2 linked regions of the Pelodiscus sinensis genome follow. The protein of the gene in region 1 interacts with the protein of each later gene in a biochemical or structural test. Links are inferred from orthologs where the notes say so. Each region holds a gene or a part of one and is shown on either strand. Other genes may lie near its edges.

Evidence for each region.
Region 2: of the proteins of proline/serine-rich coiled-coil protein 1 (region 1) and ASB7, one has a biochemical effect on the other in vitro, tested with the Homo sapiens proteins (2 studies listed by BioGRID, with this or other methods). The link is inferred for Pelodiscus sinensis from reciprocal best matches to the Homo sapiens genes PSRC1 and ASB7.

The regions. Positions count from the first base shown.
Region 1 is NC_134737.1:15,885,313-15,893,065, reverse strand, and holds the start of proline/serine-rich coiled-coil protein 1, read right to left. Parts: upstream 3,013-7,753; 5' UTR 2,949-3,012; intron 1-2,948. Other genes in the region: PPIL1 (peptidyl-prolyl cis-trans isomerase-like 1), read left to right, coding at 3,233-3,288, 3,391-3,545, 6,334-6,402. UniProt on the Homo sapiens protein: Required for normal progression through mitosis. Required for normal congress of chromosomes at the metaphase plate, and for normal rate of chromosomal segregation during anaphase. Plays a role in the regulation of mitotic spindle dynamics.
Region 2 is NC_134724.1:7,682,603-7,690,346, forward strand, and holds the start of ASB7 (ankyrin repeat and SOCS box protein 7), read right to left. Parts: upstream 3,005-7,744; 5' UTR 2,821-3,004; intron 923-2,820; exon of another isoform or gene 877-922; intron 473-876; 5' UTR 266-472; intron 1-265. UniProt on the Homo sapiens protein: Probable substrate-recognition component of a SCF-like ECS (Elongin-Cullin-SOCS-box protein) E3 ubiquitin-protein ligase complex which mediates the ubiquitination and subsequent proteasomal degradation of target proteins.

The DNA.
Region 1 (7,753 bases):
TCTGGGCCAATCCACATGTGGGTGAATCAGTGGGAATCTCACATCCAGCGCAGGGGGACCCCGGGTTACAGAGCAGACAGCCCCCCCACTACATCACACCCCCATCATCTCAACACTAAATATTTCCACCTTAAGAACCACAAAAAACAGCTATTCCCCAGCTGTCTGTTCTTTCATGCCCCTTCTTCTTGCTACAAATCTCTCTCTTTACAAATCAGCTTAGCCTTGAGAAGTGAGGGATTCCCTTTCTAAGAAGAGATAAAACATTTATTCCTCCCTTGGGCAAGACGTGCTAGCTTCACTCACACATTAATCCCTTCTCCACCATTTGCTGCATCTTACTACATTGGTTTTCCAGTTCTGCTCTGGCTTCTGGCTGGTTGCTAATGGACAGGCTGCATAAGATGCCCCTGATTGGAGGTCTCCACAACAAAAAGCCCGGAGTTGTGTTCAGAGTGGATAATTGGGAACTGACCCCATTGAGTGTCTGCAAACAATCCTTTAAATAAGGAAATAAAATAGACCTTCTTGAGTTTTTTTAAACTGTCAAAAAAGTCACTGATCTAGTTAAAAACCACCACTATCACCACCCTTTATTTAAAATAAAGTCTTCCTGCTTTTGTGGCTGATTCCAAGTTAGACCCTAGGAAGGTCACATCACGACTCAGTGCCTCAGTTTACCCATATATAAAAACAGGAAAATATAAAGGAGCATAAACTGAACAAGTTTCTTTATTGCTTGTATTGTGGGGGAGGGGGACGGGGGGGTGTTACAGGCAAACACACTGAATGCAAGGGCACTTCGTTGAGAGCAATGTGCATGACTCCTAAAACTGGCTATTCATTGCACTGCGCCATGCTTTGCTCTCCTTATTACCCTGGTGTCTGGCCACTCAAAATCTCTGGCTAGGCACTCTGCCTCAGCCCCCTACTAGGGATGTTAAATATCAGTTAATTGAATAGTCGAGTAACCTCATGAATCCTTATCAGTTAGTCGACTATTACATAGCTCCTGTCTCACTCCAAAGGAGTCCCCTGCCACACAGTGCTACTGCCTCTGTATCAGAGGCAGCAATGCAGGGTGCCAGGGATGAGCTGGTCCGTGAGGGGAGCCAGTTTAAAAACAAGCTCCCCTTGCGGATGAGCTGCCTGTCGCCCTGTGCTGCTGCCCAGATCCATCGCAAGCCAGAACTGAGCTGGGCTGCTGACCTGCCTGCTAAAAAAAAAAATTTACTGGCAAGGGGTGGGAGGAGAATGCGTGTAGTCTACAGCATTAACCTGTACATTCTTGCTTATCGGTTAATAGACTACACTACTACAGCCCTACCCTGACAGATTACTTTCTCCCTTGCTCTAAAAATATTATGAAGCACACAGCAGGCTGCCACCATAAAGGGAATGTTGCATTTGTCAGGGTTTAACCTAATCAGTAGATTAGTAACCCTTCCCTTTAAATGCCCGAAAGCACATTCAACCACTATTCTACACTTGCTCAGCCTGTAGTTAAACTGCTCCTTACTGAGGTCCAGGCTGCCCATATATGGTTTCATAAGCCATGGAAGCAAGACGTAGGCTGGGTCATCAAGCATCAATATTGCCATTTCCACCTCTCTGATTCTAGTTTTCCAGTCTGGGAAAAAAGTTCCAACTTGCAGCTTTGTGAATAGGCAGGAGTGTCTCAAGATCCACGTGTCATGCACAATTCCCAACCACCCCACATTGATGTCAGTGAAATGGCCCTTGTGATACGCCATCGCCTACAGCACCTTGCTGTTTATTTACTCCTTGACAACATGGTTGGGGGCCAAGATGGGGATGCACATTCCCTCTATCACCCCACTGCAGTTAGGGATCTGCACTGCAGCAAAGCCATCCACGTTTCCAGAGTCACTACCCTCTGTAGCAGAAGGGCATTGTTTGCCTTAGCTACTTGAATAACAGCAGCCCCCATTGCAGGTTTCTCCACTCCAGACCGATTCCCAACGGACTGGTAGCTGTCTGGCGTTGCAAGCCTCCACAGGGCAATTATTACGCCCTTCTCCGCTGTCAGAGTGGGGGTCAATTCTGGTGTTCCTGTGCTTGAGTGCAGGGACATTGAAACCTCCCCTTCGGCCGCCCCCGTGGAAATTAAAAGTCCCTCCACACCTTTGGAAAAACAGGGGCCAAGTCTGTGCATCCCCAGCTAGTTCCAGCGTCCAAGGCTCGGGCCCAACCTCCCAGCTGAGCTGGAGGAAAACAGGGGAAGGGGAACAATAACCCCTCCCTCCACTTTGCCACAGGCAACATCACACAAAACTACGGGTCAATGGGGAGAGCTAGACTCTGGGTCCATTGCAGGGTATTAACCGGGGTGCATTGGTGGGTCATCCCTATGCACCCCAGCCCCCCCTACCTCACCTCCCCCCAACCCTGCCACCCCACCTCACCTCCCCCCCAACCACCCCCCAGCCCCCCCACCTCACCTCCCCCCAACCCCCCCAGCCCAGCCCAGCCCAACTACCCCCCAGCCCCGCCCCCCCAGCCCACCTCCCCCCAAACCCCCCAGCCCAGCCCAACTACCCCCCAGCACCGCCCCCCCACCCCACCTCCGCCCAGCCCCCCCAGCCCAGCCCCCCACCTCCTCCCAACCCCCCCAGCCCAGCCCCCCCTCCCAATCATCCCCCAGCCCAGCCACCTCCTCCCAACCACCCTCCAGCCCAGCCCCCCCTCCCAGCCACCCTCCAGTCCCCAGCCCAGCCCAACTACCCCCGAGCCCCGCCCCCCCAGCCCACCTCCTCCCAACCCCCCAGCCCAGCCCCCCACCCCACCTCCTCCCAACCCCCCCAGCCCAGCCCCCCACCCCACCTCCTCCCAACCCCTCCCCCATTCCAAGTCTCCTGTGTCCAAGCCCATGGCCCCACTACAATGCATTAGCCCCCGCCCCACCCCCACCCGCGCCCGCCACTCACCCTCCGTCCTTCCCGAGGCGCCGCTTCCTCGCAGCAAACACAGCCGCGTGGAAGGGGCGTGGCTAAATTCGAATTCTCCCTCCTGTACGTCACAATAACACCGTTGCCGCCCAGCGCGCTGATTGGTGCCTCTCCCCCCCCCCCCGGGGGCTGTTTCAGAGCCGAGCGTTCATTGGCCGCCAGGGGGCCCCGCCCTATTCCACGAGAGGAGGGGGGCGGTTGGCTGAGCTAACGGAAGTACGTCACGCGGCGCTCTGAGCGGAGTGTTCCGGTGCGCGAGGAGCATGGCTGCGGTGCCTCCCGACTCCTGGCAGCCCCCCGCCGTCTCCATGGAGACCACGTAAGGAGCCGCGGGGCGGGGGTCGCGCCGGGGGCGGGGGCCTGGTCTGGGGGCGGGGCGCGCGGCGCGGGGCGGCGCCCTGACCCTGTGGCCCCCCCGCAGCATGGGCACCATCGTCCTGGAGCTCTACTGGAAACACGCGCCCAAGACCTGCAAGAACTTCGCCGAGCTGGCCCGGCGCGGCTACTACAACGGCACCAAGTTCCACCGCATCATCAAGGACTTCATGGTGCAGGGGGGCGACCCCACGGGGACAGGTAGGGCGGCCTCGCCCCTCCCCCCCGCGTCGGGAGCGCGCGCGCCTGAGCCACGCGGGCACGTGCCCCGCCCCTCCCCGCTGAAGCGGGGCCCAGCGCGGGGTCCGTGCAATCCAGGGTCCACTCTCTTGCCCCGCCTCCTTCCGGCCCCTTCTCCACGGGCCCCCTGCTCACCCCCCCCCTCTCACTTTTCTCCGGCTGGAGGGAGAGGGTTGGGGCGCGGGGGAAGGGGATGTGGACTCGGATCTCGGGCTGAAGGGTTCGGAGTGTGGCAGGGCTTCTGAGCTGAGGTTGAGGTGCAGGATGGTTGCAGGGTGCAGGCTCTGGGAGGGAGTTTGGGTGCAGGGGGACTCAGGGTTAGGGCAGGGGTTTGAGGTTCGGGGGGGGGGGCGGGGTTTGGAATGCAGGCTCCAGCTGGGAGCTGTTTACCACAGGTGGCTTCTGGGTGGTGATGGAAGGGGGCTAAGGCAGGTTCACCCCTCCCCTGGCCTTGCATCACTCCCAAAAGCAGCCAGTAAACTCTCCATCCCTGCCCCCACTCTGCTCCGTGGAGAAGGGGTACAGGGTGGAAGGAGGTGCATCCTGACATCAGCACCTCCTCCTCTTCTTCTTGTGCCCTGCACAGCACGCAAGAGGCTACTGGGACTGGGGGCAGCTCCAAGGCAAAGGCAGGAGCAGCACAGCAGTGCTGAGAGGGACAGATGAAGTGCCAGCATTTGACAGCCTCCCGATCAAACCTGTCAGGATCACCTGTCAGAAGGCTCCAAGATCTACCAGTAGATCGTGATCTGCTGGTTGATGACCACTGGCCTAGTGTTTAGGATGCAAAAACGGGATTTGGAGAAAACCACGTTCAACTAACTCTCTGCTCCTATTAAGATTACTTGTGTGACCTCAACCACATCATGGTACATCTATACTTTAGTCTGCATGTAGAGCTGCGGTCACCAACCCGTTGATCGCGATCAACTGATCAATCACGAGGCCTCAACCAGTCGATCGCAAGGCATTCCGGATCCTCCATTTCCCTCCACCCCCAAGAAGCCCCACTACCTACCTCCAGCGACAATGGAGGTAGTGGCAGCTTCCCGTGGGGTGGACAGAAGTCCTGCAGCTGTGCGTCACTCCCAGGGGCCAAATGTCTAGACAGGCCAAATGTTGGAAAAACCTCTTCCTACAGAAGAATTGGCAGTAAAAAAGCAGCAGTATAAGGGTTGGGGATAGCAAGTGATGGAGCAGAGGAGAATAGAGAGGGTAGGGCGGGGCTTCAAGAAAGGGGTTGGGTCCTGGGGGAAGGATGGGGAGGTAGATCTTGGCTTGTTCTGTCATTTAAAAAGTGATCTTGGGTGTAAAAAGGTTGAAGACCGCTGGTGTAGAGTATATACAGGATGCCCAGCTCACCTGGGCATAAGCAGCAGGACAGATGATGAGGCACAACTTAGGTGAGTAGAATAGAGCTGTGTTTCTCAACCAGTGGTACGAGTACCCTTAAGGGTACTCGAGAGAAGTCTGGGGGGGGTACATCAACACAACTGAAATTTAGAGAAAACTGAATTTTTGTTTCAAGTTTTACAGCGCTTTATTATTACACCCAAAACTTTCATTGCCCTAAGTTTTTTAAACAAATGTGTGTCTGGTACTGTGGGTACTTATAATTTTTCATTTTTTAAAGGGGGTACTTTATAAAAAAAGGTCGAGAAACACTCAAATAGAGTGCCTTACCTGCCTAAAACACTGAAGAATGGAGATTCCATCATCTCCCTAGGCAACCTATTCCAGTGCTTTACTACCCTGCTAGTGAAGTAGTATATTGGAATTGGAAAAGGTACAGGGACAGGCAACACAAACTACAGGCAGTCCCCGAGTTACGCGGATCCGACTTATGTCGGATCCGCAGTTACGAACGGGGCCCTCTCCCTGCTCTCCAGCAGACCAGGGAGAGGAAGAAAAGCAGCGGAGCATGCGGGCAGCGGACAGCCCAGACGTGTCTGGGCTGTCCGCTGCCCGCGCGTTCAGCCGCTTTGCTCTGCTTTGCTCCCCGTCCCCCTGGTCTGCAGACCAGAGGGATGGGGAGCAAAGCGGCGGAATGCGCGGGCAGCGGACAGCCCAGACGCTCACAGGGGCAGGGCTCAATAGGATTGTGGATTTGCTTAAAGACAGAGTCGATTAGGGATAGATAGTTGCTTTTATTAATTTTACTACGTCACTACTATTACAGCCTTAATACTGGCAAATACACAACTACTGCAAACTAATCCAAATAATTAGCATAGGCAAAGCAATACATATACATGAGCAACAGGCACTTAGAAATGCTTACGCCCCTTCAGGTCTGCAGGGAGTTCCATTCCGGTCACCTTGCACCAAGCTGGAGTGGATGTGGCTCCAGCTAGGGGACCCAGGGCACCTTCCAAGGGAAAAGGTCTCTGGTGGAACTCACAAAAGGGCGGGCAGGTTTTATACTCTGTTTACTGGGTGTGCACGTCCCTGGCTCAATGCCATTCTTATCATTTTTATGGGCTGAGACCAAGGTCAAACTTATTTACTGCTCAGTAGTTTCCCAGCTCAAGGCACAGGTTAGAGCTGATAAAACCCAGCTGCTGTTTGGGCTTGCAGGGTCCCAGGTTATGCTAAGCTGGGTACAGCAGGGATGGAAACTTCCATCCTAGGCCTGCTAAGCTGCAGGACGCACATATGACTTTCATGTGACAATCCCTACAATGAGAGTGGCCCTGAATGTCTGCCATGGCTTTCTGTATTGACATATCTGCTTTTCTCCAATGGGCAGGCAGAGGGGGCGCATCCATCTATGGGAAGCAGTTTGAAGATGAACTTCATCCAGAACTAAAATTTACAGGTAAGTGCCATTTGATGGACTTGTGTGGGTATTTGTGTTGTGTTAACCGTGCAGGTTGGGCAGAGCACCAGTTCAGGGCTCAGTCTCACAGTCCTTATACAGAAGTCATTGGGAGTATGGGTGGCGTGAGTGCTGCAGGCTTGGTAGTTCTTAATGACAAGTGAAGCATTAAAGGGATTGTGGTCAGGAAGTGAAAAATTAACCGACTAGGGTCCCATGCAGATGAATAAACAATGACATGGTAGCTCTCTTCCTTCAACAAATGGAATTGAGAAGCTGTGACCCTGAAACCTGCAAAATGATGCTGCAACTATCCTGTTTTCAGCTAAGTAGTCTCTTCCTAAAGATAGTTAATCAGTGGTCTAACAGCAGCAGAACAGCTTGTGCTAAATGGCAGATAGAATCATACAGTCCACAACTCAGACCCCTCCAACGCATTATACACAACCTGTAATCCATCTTGGAAAATGATCCCTCATTCTGAGGCCTTTAGGGAAAAGCCTGTTGTCACTTACTGACAACCCCCCAACCTGAAATGAATTCTTTCTGGTCACCATGCTACACAACCACATCATAAACATCCAGGAACCCAGCCCTGCAATCAGCTGAGGTGCCAACTCTGCCCACATAACTATACAAGCGAATTCATTAGTGGAGCCAACAACATAAGCTACCAAATCAGAGGATCATTCAATTGCACATCCAGTAATTTGATCTATTCCAGCAGTGCCCCACTGCCCATATTGGACAAACTGAAGAGTCCCGAAGGGAAAGAATCAATGGACACAAATCAGCTGTACGTAAAGGGAGCGTACAGAAACCTGTTGGAGAGCACCTCAGTCTACCTAATCACTCTTTAAAAGTTCTCCAGGTGGCTGTCTTATCACAATCCAATTCTACAAGTCAAATACACAGAGAGGTGTTGGAATTACAGGCAGTCCCCGAGTTACGCGGATCTGACTTATGTCAGATCCGCACTTACGAACCGTGCTTTTCTCGCCCCGGAGGATGCGGGCGGCGGGACCGTCCAGACACGCCGAGGTCCTCCAGGGCGAGGAAAGCTGCTCCGCGTCTCCCTGGTCTGCTGGGGGGGGGCCAGCAGACCAGGGAGACACAGAGCGAAGCTGCGGAGGACCCGGGCGGCGGGACCGTGGCGCGTCTTGGTCCCGCCGCTCGCGTCTCCATGGTCTGCTGTGGGGGGAGGGGGGGCGGTGCAGCTAGTGCGCCCCTTCCCCCTCCCCCCCCCCCCCCCCCCCCCCCCTCTCTCCAGCAGACCAGGCTTTTCTCAGGACTCCTGGGGCAGAGCAGCTGGGGTGCTGCCAGTTGCTCCCGCAGCGCCGCTCCTTGGCGC
Region 2 (7,744 bases), on another chromosome or scaffold:
AAGCCACAAAAAGATCTTGAAGTTGCAACCTACAAAAAAAGTAAATAAATGTTTGGAGCTTATTTTATCAAATGAGAACGCAAAGTGCAGAACAAGACACAGAAAAGGGAAAAAGTTCATTCCCTATACTGCAAATTTTTGTTACTTTTTTAAGCCAAAGAGCAAATTGTTTTTTCTAAAAAAAAAAAACCAAAACAACCAAAACCCCCCAAAAAAACCCACAAAAAAAAACACCTAAGAGGGAAATCTAATCCTAGGTACTCACATAAAATCAGTCAAGAAAGCCAATAAGAACGGGTTCCATAAGCATCCAGACAAGCTTGTGTGGACATGCAGGGTTGGCTTGGGATACAAGATAAGAATGAAGGTGGATTATCACCTTTATACTGAGTGCCACTTTCAATTTTTCTTACAGTCTGTATCTTCTCCTTTGCATTCCCAGTTTGCAAGTCTCCCTTGAGTCAGCTTGAGCCTGAAAAGAGGGAGTTAGTACTGTTAGATGAGTGAGAAGTGGAGGATAAAGGGAATTAGCATCCAAAACACTGTCAAGGTTGAAGTAGGGAGAATGAAGAGAAAGGAAGCACAGGGTATTTCCCCAAAGTGGAAACTGAAAAGAAGGAGTGAACCATATGGAATATTTGGGGTTTTAATGTGGGTAAAAAACCAGCAAGAGATTCTTCTCAAAGTATGGTCTCATTGTAATTGAAGTAAGGAACAAGGAACATTAATGGGTAGGCAGAAAATAACAGAAAAAATCAGAGTTTCTGGAGAATTAGAAAAAGCAGGAAGGTAACTGTCCCCAAGTCCTCACCAAAAAACAAAGTCTTGGGGACCTCTGAGGAACAAAGGTTGGGCTCGGAGAAGAAGATTACCTACCAGGCATGGTTTTGAGGTCGCAACACAGATGGTCCAGAACAGAATCCTAGGATAATGGTTAGGAATGTAAAATTCGGTTTTATTGATTAACTGGTTAAACATTATGTTTAACTGGTTAACTGTTTAGGGCTGGAGCAGCCCACCCACCACAAACAAGGGTTGCTATGACTGGCCATCTGATCCGAACAGTCCCCGTTTGTGGTGCACCACCTGGGCCGGGCCCACCACAGACAGGGGCTGTTCTGAACAGCCAGTCAGAGCAGCCAATCTGCAGTGGGTCCAGGAGCTGCTCCAGCCCCTACTGGTTAAACATTCATACGCCTAGTAATGGTGGATGGCTAGAGAAACATCTAAGATCAAGAAATGGGCTTTTACGGCCTAACCAAAATCTACAGCATCATTTCTCAAATGTGGCCAACACAAGTTTTCTTACCCTCATAGCTTCCTAGCTGGTGATTGGAAAAATGGGGAGTGGGAAGGTACAACTCCTCTCTAGGGGGTCAAAAGGAGGGGTTGGGCCCTGCCCTGGAGATATGCACTCTAGAAGAGCAGAAATGCAGTGCGACTTCCCCCCTTTCCTAGGTGTGATGGAGCTCAGGCTTCTAGTGTCAGCCTTGAAGGGGCAGGCACAGGTTGTGGCCACAGGCCAGCAGGTTCGTCATGGACTCCACCCATGTTTCTGGACTTTGGCTGCACAGACACTGGTTGGGTTTTGGACTTCAGCTACTGAGTTTTGGGCTCACTCTCCCCTGCCTTCCCCCATTACCCTGAGCTCCCACTGCAGTCACTGGCCGCTCACCTATACATACATACCAATACCCCAGTCCTTGCTACCTCCCTACCCACCTTTCCATTCAAGGCTTAATTTATCCTTCACCTACCAGGGCTGAATAAGTCTGTGATGGAAAGTGATATTTGTAAGTTAATATAACTTTTTACTGCCTCCGAACTAGCCAATAAATTGGCTGCAAAAAGCGATATTAACAAACATACCAATATCTTTTTTTTTAAACAAAAGACAACTTACTAGCTAGTTAGTCTTAAAAAAAACCTGTAACTAAAAAAAAAGCAAAAAAAACAACAACAAAAGACAACAACAGGCAAAGCCCCTTATTTTTGTTTCTATTCTTATTTAGGGCAAGTAAAAAATAGGGACAACTGTATGTTATTATTGAGTCTAAAAAAAATCTACATAAATTATAACGATCTGGACATGTATGTGTGTATGTTTCTCTTCGGATCACATAAATCTTCCACCTTTTATTTATTTTCACTGAAGTTAAATATTTTAAGGAAAATTTTCATAGTGGCCACCACAAAAGTTAGTGGCCACACTATGAGGCCTCCAAAAATTTGCTGAGAGAACCCCAGTAGTGGGGAAGAGGTTGAAAGGTGGGGAAGGGAGCAGCGCACAAAACAGGGAATTTCGAGGCATTGAAAAGAGACCAGCGGAAAAGAGAAGCGTGAACCCCCTGTAGTGCAGTGACGGGGGCGGGGGATTAAGAGAGGGGCATAGGGCAGATTTGCTCTGCTCCATAACAGTCTTGGGAGCATGACGGGGGCAGGGGATAGTGACGAGCGAAGAGCACGTCCCCCTCGAAAGAGTCAGCGAGATGAGGGCGATGGGAAGAGCCTCGGGGACTTTGGGCCGGGTGGGGGGAGATAACCTCCCCCCCTAAAGACCGTCTCAAGGGAACCATGGGCCAAAGCGGGGGGTGGCCCTCAGCCCCACAGCGGGAATACTCCTCCCCAGACCCTGTCCGGGGGGGATGGGCTAGTGCCCCCCCCAGTCTCAGAGGAGCACGGGGCTGCAGACTATCCCCCTCCCCCACACACCGCAGAGTCCCATGGGAAGGGGGCGCAGACTCGGGGCGGGGGTGGAGCGCTCCCGCGGCAGGCGCCCCCCTGACGGGGTCTCGGGACAGAGCGGGCTTCAGCCGTTACCTGTCTCCTCCTGAGGGGGGCGGGACCGGCGGTCGCTCCGCGGCCGCTCCCCCCACTGGCACTGGCTCAGGAGTGGGGGGAGCCGCAGACCCAGCCGGGGGCGTTGTGGGGACACTTTACACTGACTGAGCCGCCCCCCTCCTCACTCCGGGGTCACTGGGCAGGGACTGACCCCCACCGCAGCCAATCCGCTGCCGCCGCCATAGCTCCGCCCCGAGCCGTAAACCACCGCCGCGCCGGGTTGGGTGACTCCGTTTATCTCCCCGCCCAGTGCCGTAAAGCGGGGTGGGAAGAGGGGGGGCCCTTGCGACAGCTAACGGTAAGGGCTGCTTGCGCTCGAATTTGTCCTGGGAGAAGTGGGCCCTCCCGCGCCCCGTCTCCGGAGGGCGGGTAAAGCGAGGCGGTTGCCTAGCAGCCCTGGGTGGGCGGCGATGGCTGAGCGTGGGACCTGAGGCGGCTCGGTGAGGGCGGCTGGGCCGGGAGGAGGGGGTTGCGCTGGCGGCCGGGCTGTGGAAGCCCGGAGGCGTTGGCGGGAGGGGGTGAGGAGGCTGGGCCGAGGGTGCGAGGAAGGGGAAGGGGGAGGGGAGGTGTGGGAAGCAGGAGGCGGCGCTGCGGGGGGAGCTGAGGCGCAGCCTTTGGGGGCGGGGGTTGGCTCTGCTCTTTCGCATCCCGATGTGGCCTGCACGTTTTGGGGCTGGAGGATGAAAACCACTGGGGGGGGGGAGTGAGGCAATTTCCCCCACTGTGTGCTGATAATTATGGCGCTGCTCAGCAAGGATATTGGCTGGGTGGTTGGTTTTTTTCTTCTGTAAGGACCAGCCGTGAAAAAGTGACATTCTAAATTCTAATCCGGAGGCAGACGGTGGGAGAGGTAATACAGTTTGTTGGACCAATGTTCTGTGGGTGAACGAGACCAGCTTCCAAGCTGGTTTCCCAGACCTGGAAAAAACAGGTCTGTCTAAACTTTGAACTTGAAGGTGGTCTTTTTCACCCACAGGAGTTGGTTCAATAATAGAAATGACGTCACCCACCTTGTGTTTCCTATCTAGGAATCAGCCCATCTATAACGACACTGCAGACCATCAGGACAGCAGATGGTTCACACCTCACAATTGGTGGAAAGTGTTTGCACAGACAGGAAGGTCAAACTGTGATTTACCTTGGAAATATTTATTCCCACGCAGAGACCGGAAATGTAACAGTTTTTAAAGGCAAGCCTATAAGCTAAAAACCCCCAACTCTCCACCCGCATACAAAGTTAAGAGAGCCAGAGTTTAGTTTATACCTCATGATTTAAGTGTGGATCTTCCTTGACGCAAACAAAAGCCTTTCAGTGAAATTAGAGAATCCTCATGCCCCATATTTCATACATCAGAGTTGCAACCACCATTGTTTTCTGTTTGTGAAGACCGCAATTAAAGAGAGAAGCTTTCCATGCAATAGTATTTTAATATGATCTACTTTAATGAAGTTGAAAGTAAAACAAACATAGTGTTTTAACAGGACTTTCCTTTAATCATGATTGTGAGAAACACATGCTTTTTGGCTAATTGTATTATGTGAGTCATAATATACCATCCAGCTGCATGTCAGCTGTAATAAAAAAAAACACTTGCAACTTAAGATGTAGTCTGAGAATGTAGAAGATAATGTGATTTGAAAACAACTGTTTCGTTAGTCACTATCAAATGAGTGATGGATTTTTGTATATAGGACTTAGCTTAAGTACTCCACACTGAAAATGTATATTGACTTCATAATTCCATTTTAGAGATATTGTGGAGTTAGTGACTAGCCATTGACTTACATGTTTTATGGTATTCCTCAAAATTTATTGGCCTCAAATAAACTATTTTCCATGCTTCCTTCTCTGATCCCTTCCCTTCTTTTCCTTTAGTGTCTCTCTTCCCTTGCTTTCTATTTAGGTAATCCTTATTTATCAACCCCTGTGATTTGTATTTAAATCAAACCAAAACAGTAATGAAATTTACATGATGTTTGACAATCATTATGTTACTCATGCTGCTTGTAAGCTATATCTCTTTTTTCTCAATCTTTTGTCTCGTCTGTTTACATTACAAATTCGTCATCACAGGGATTGTGTCTTATTCTGGGTCGTTCTGTTGATTGGCTTCTAGGAGCTGCCATAATATTAGATATAATTGGAGTACATTATTCCTTACATATCCCTACTGTCATACTGCTGTTACTCCCTTCCTCACCTGTTTAGTTATCTGCCATGCTGTCTTACTATAGTTGAATATATCTCTGTTGTCCTCTGGCATCTCTTCTTTCAAATTCACCCTTTAAAACCTATCTTTTAAAGCAATCCTGTCCCACTTTGTAATGATCACCACTCACTTTTTCCTGACCTGGTATCCTATATTTTTTTAATCTATTTTAGATTGAGGTCTTTGAAACAAGTGGCATGGTTTATTGAAGTTTGGTAAAGTACTATGTAAATTAATGGTGCTGTAAAATATATAATCTGGGAAAGTGCAAGCACTAGTGTATTGGAAAGATAATATTTCATAGTGCTAGTCCTAGAAGAGTTCTAAAGTTGATTCACCCTAACAGCCTCATTGCATTGTATTAACTGGTACACAAGAGAGCCATTCATTTAACATTTAGGGAAGTAATTCAGTTTGGTCCTGAGTGTATTAATAAATGTATGTGTATTTGTTTAGGTAAAGTGTGTTGTATAAAATAGTCACAAATAAATTTTATGAGTTTTCAGATAATTTTCTATCTTAGGTAGAATTCAAAGTATATTCCACAAATGAAGGGTAAATATGTAGCCTGAAGTATCAGATTTATTCTTAATATTTAAAGTTCAGGCTTTGTGAACTGATAGAGGTCCCTACAGTAGCCTCACTGAAATTTGGTTGAGGAACATTGTAAGGTTCTAAAACTGCAAGTCAACAAGTGCTGTGGAAGGATATTCTCAAAAATACATGGATGTCTATGTAAAAAAATGCATGCTACCATAACGTTTATAGTCCATTGTGGATTGTCTTATCTTCCAATCCCAATTTTAGATTCTGCCTCAGAGGCAATATGGTCTAGTTATGGTAGTCACTGTCAGGACACTTGGATTATATACTTCAATCTGTCACTAACTTGCCACATAACCTTAGCAAATCACTTTATCCATCTATCTCTTAGATTCCACATATATAAAATGGGAATATTTGCTATCTTTGGAAAGTACTTTGAGATGTTCAGCTAAAAAGTACTATATATATGCTGGGTACCACTAGCTAATATTTTAGCAGCCCTAGAAATCAGGCTTATGGCTTCTGGAGTTTGGCACCCAGAATTAGAGACTAATTTGGAAAATGTAGATGTTAACTAATGCAGTTACATACGCTTTGTTTTATTCTGTTTATGAAAGTGAGGGACCAATTCTTATTAGACAATTTTTCTATTAAGCTGTCACCGTTCTTGTCTGTCTATCATGGGATTTTCAACTTGCCTTTCCTGCACACAGGCCGACCGTCCCCACCAGCTCCTGTAGAAGTGATCTGCTGCCTGGCTCCCGCTGTAGCCGAAGCAGCAGGCCACCCCTGCCAGTTCTGGCTCCCGGTCCCCTGGCAGCAGCCCCAGAGTTGGAGGGAGGGCAGCAGCCCCAGAGTTGGAGGGAGGGTAGTAGCACCAGAACCAGGAGGGCAACAGCCCCAGAGCTGGGGGAAAGGCAGTATCCCCAGAGAGTTTGTGTGTGGGGGAGAGAAGGGGAGCTAGCAATCCCGCAGTGTGTGTGGAGGGAAAAGACCAAAAAGACAAAAATAAAAAACTAAAAAAAAAAAAAAAGACTAAAAATAAAGTTTTCCGCTACCAATTTAGGAGAAAGATTGGATGGCTAACAGTTAGCAACTACCTTGAATCATACTTAGCCATCCAGTCTTTCTCCTAAATTGGTAGCGGAAAACTTTATTTTTACTCCTTTGGTACACTTTTAGAAAGATTGTCTTTTTTTTAAACTTTTTATATATTTTTTTCAGTATTTGCATATTACTCCCATTGAGCTTATGTGCAATATCTGGTCATTAATCTCCATTTTTTTAAGACAAAAGGAAAAACTATGTACTACTATAAAGACTAACAAGATGGTTTAATAGACGTTGAGTTTTCATGGGCCAGACCCACTTCCTCAAATCATATTCTGAAAGAGAATTGGCATGACCATATATACCAAAGGAATACTGTGAAAAAAGTGAACACATTATTAAACTGACAAATCAGATTTAGAACAGAAGGTGGGGAGAGAGGGAGGAAGGGAAGAAGGGAATAGCTGTTTATAAGTCAATGAATGGCTAATCAGGGGTGATAAGTGGGGAAGCTGTCTTTATAATGTGTTTAAAAAAAAAAAACAACAACCAATGGTCTCGTAGCACTTTATAGAGTAACAAAACATGTAGATGGTATCATGAGCTTTCATGGGCACAGCCCACTTCTTCAGATACTGGAGTTATGAGTAGGGGGTATGAAAACTTGGATATTAACTTGAAACTGGTCTATAGTCAGGCCCTTAGGTACAATCGCATCTGCTCTAATCCCACTGACAGAGATCAGAAACTTCAAGATCTCTACCGAGCATTGGTAAATCTCAATTACCCACCGGGGGAAATAAAAAAACAAAGCGGAAGAACCAGACGAATACCCAGAAACCATCTACTTCAAGATATGCCCAAGAAAACCAACAACAGAACACCACCTTTAGCCCCCAACTTAAACCCCTCCAATGCATTATCAATAACTTAGGGTTAGGTCCTAGTTCGAACAAGGGTGGCTAATGTAGTCATTTGAACTTGCAAATGAAGCCTGGGATTAAAATATCCCGGGCTTAATTTGCATGTTCCCATGCGCCGCTAGTTCGCACTCCCTGCCCACGGCTGCCCGTGACTACACGCAGCACGGGCTAGGT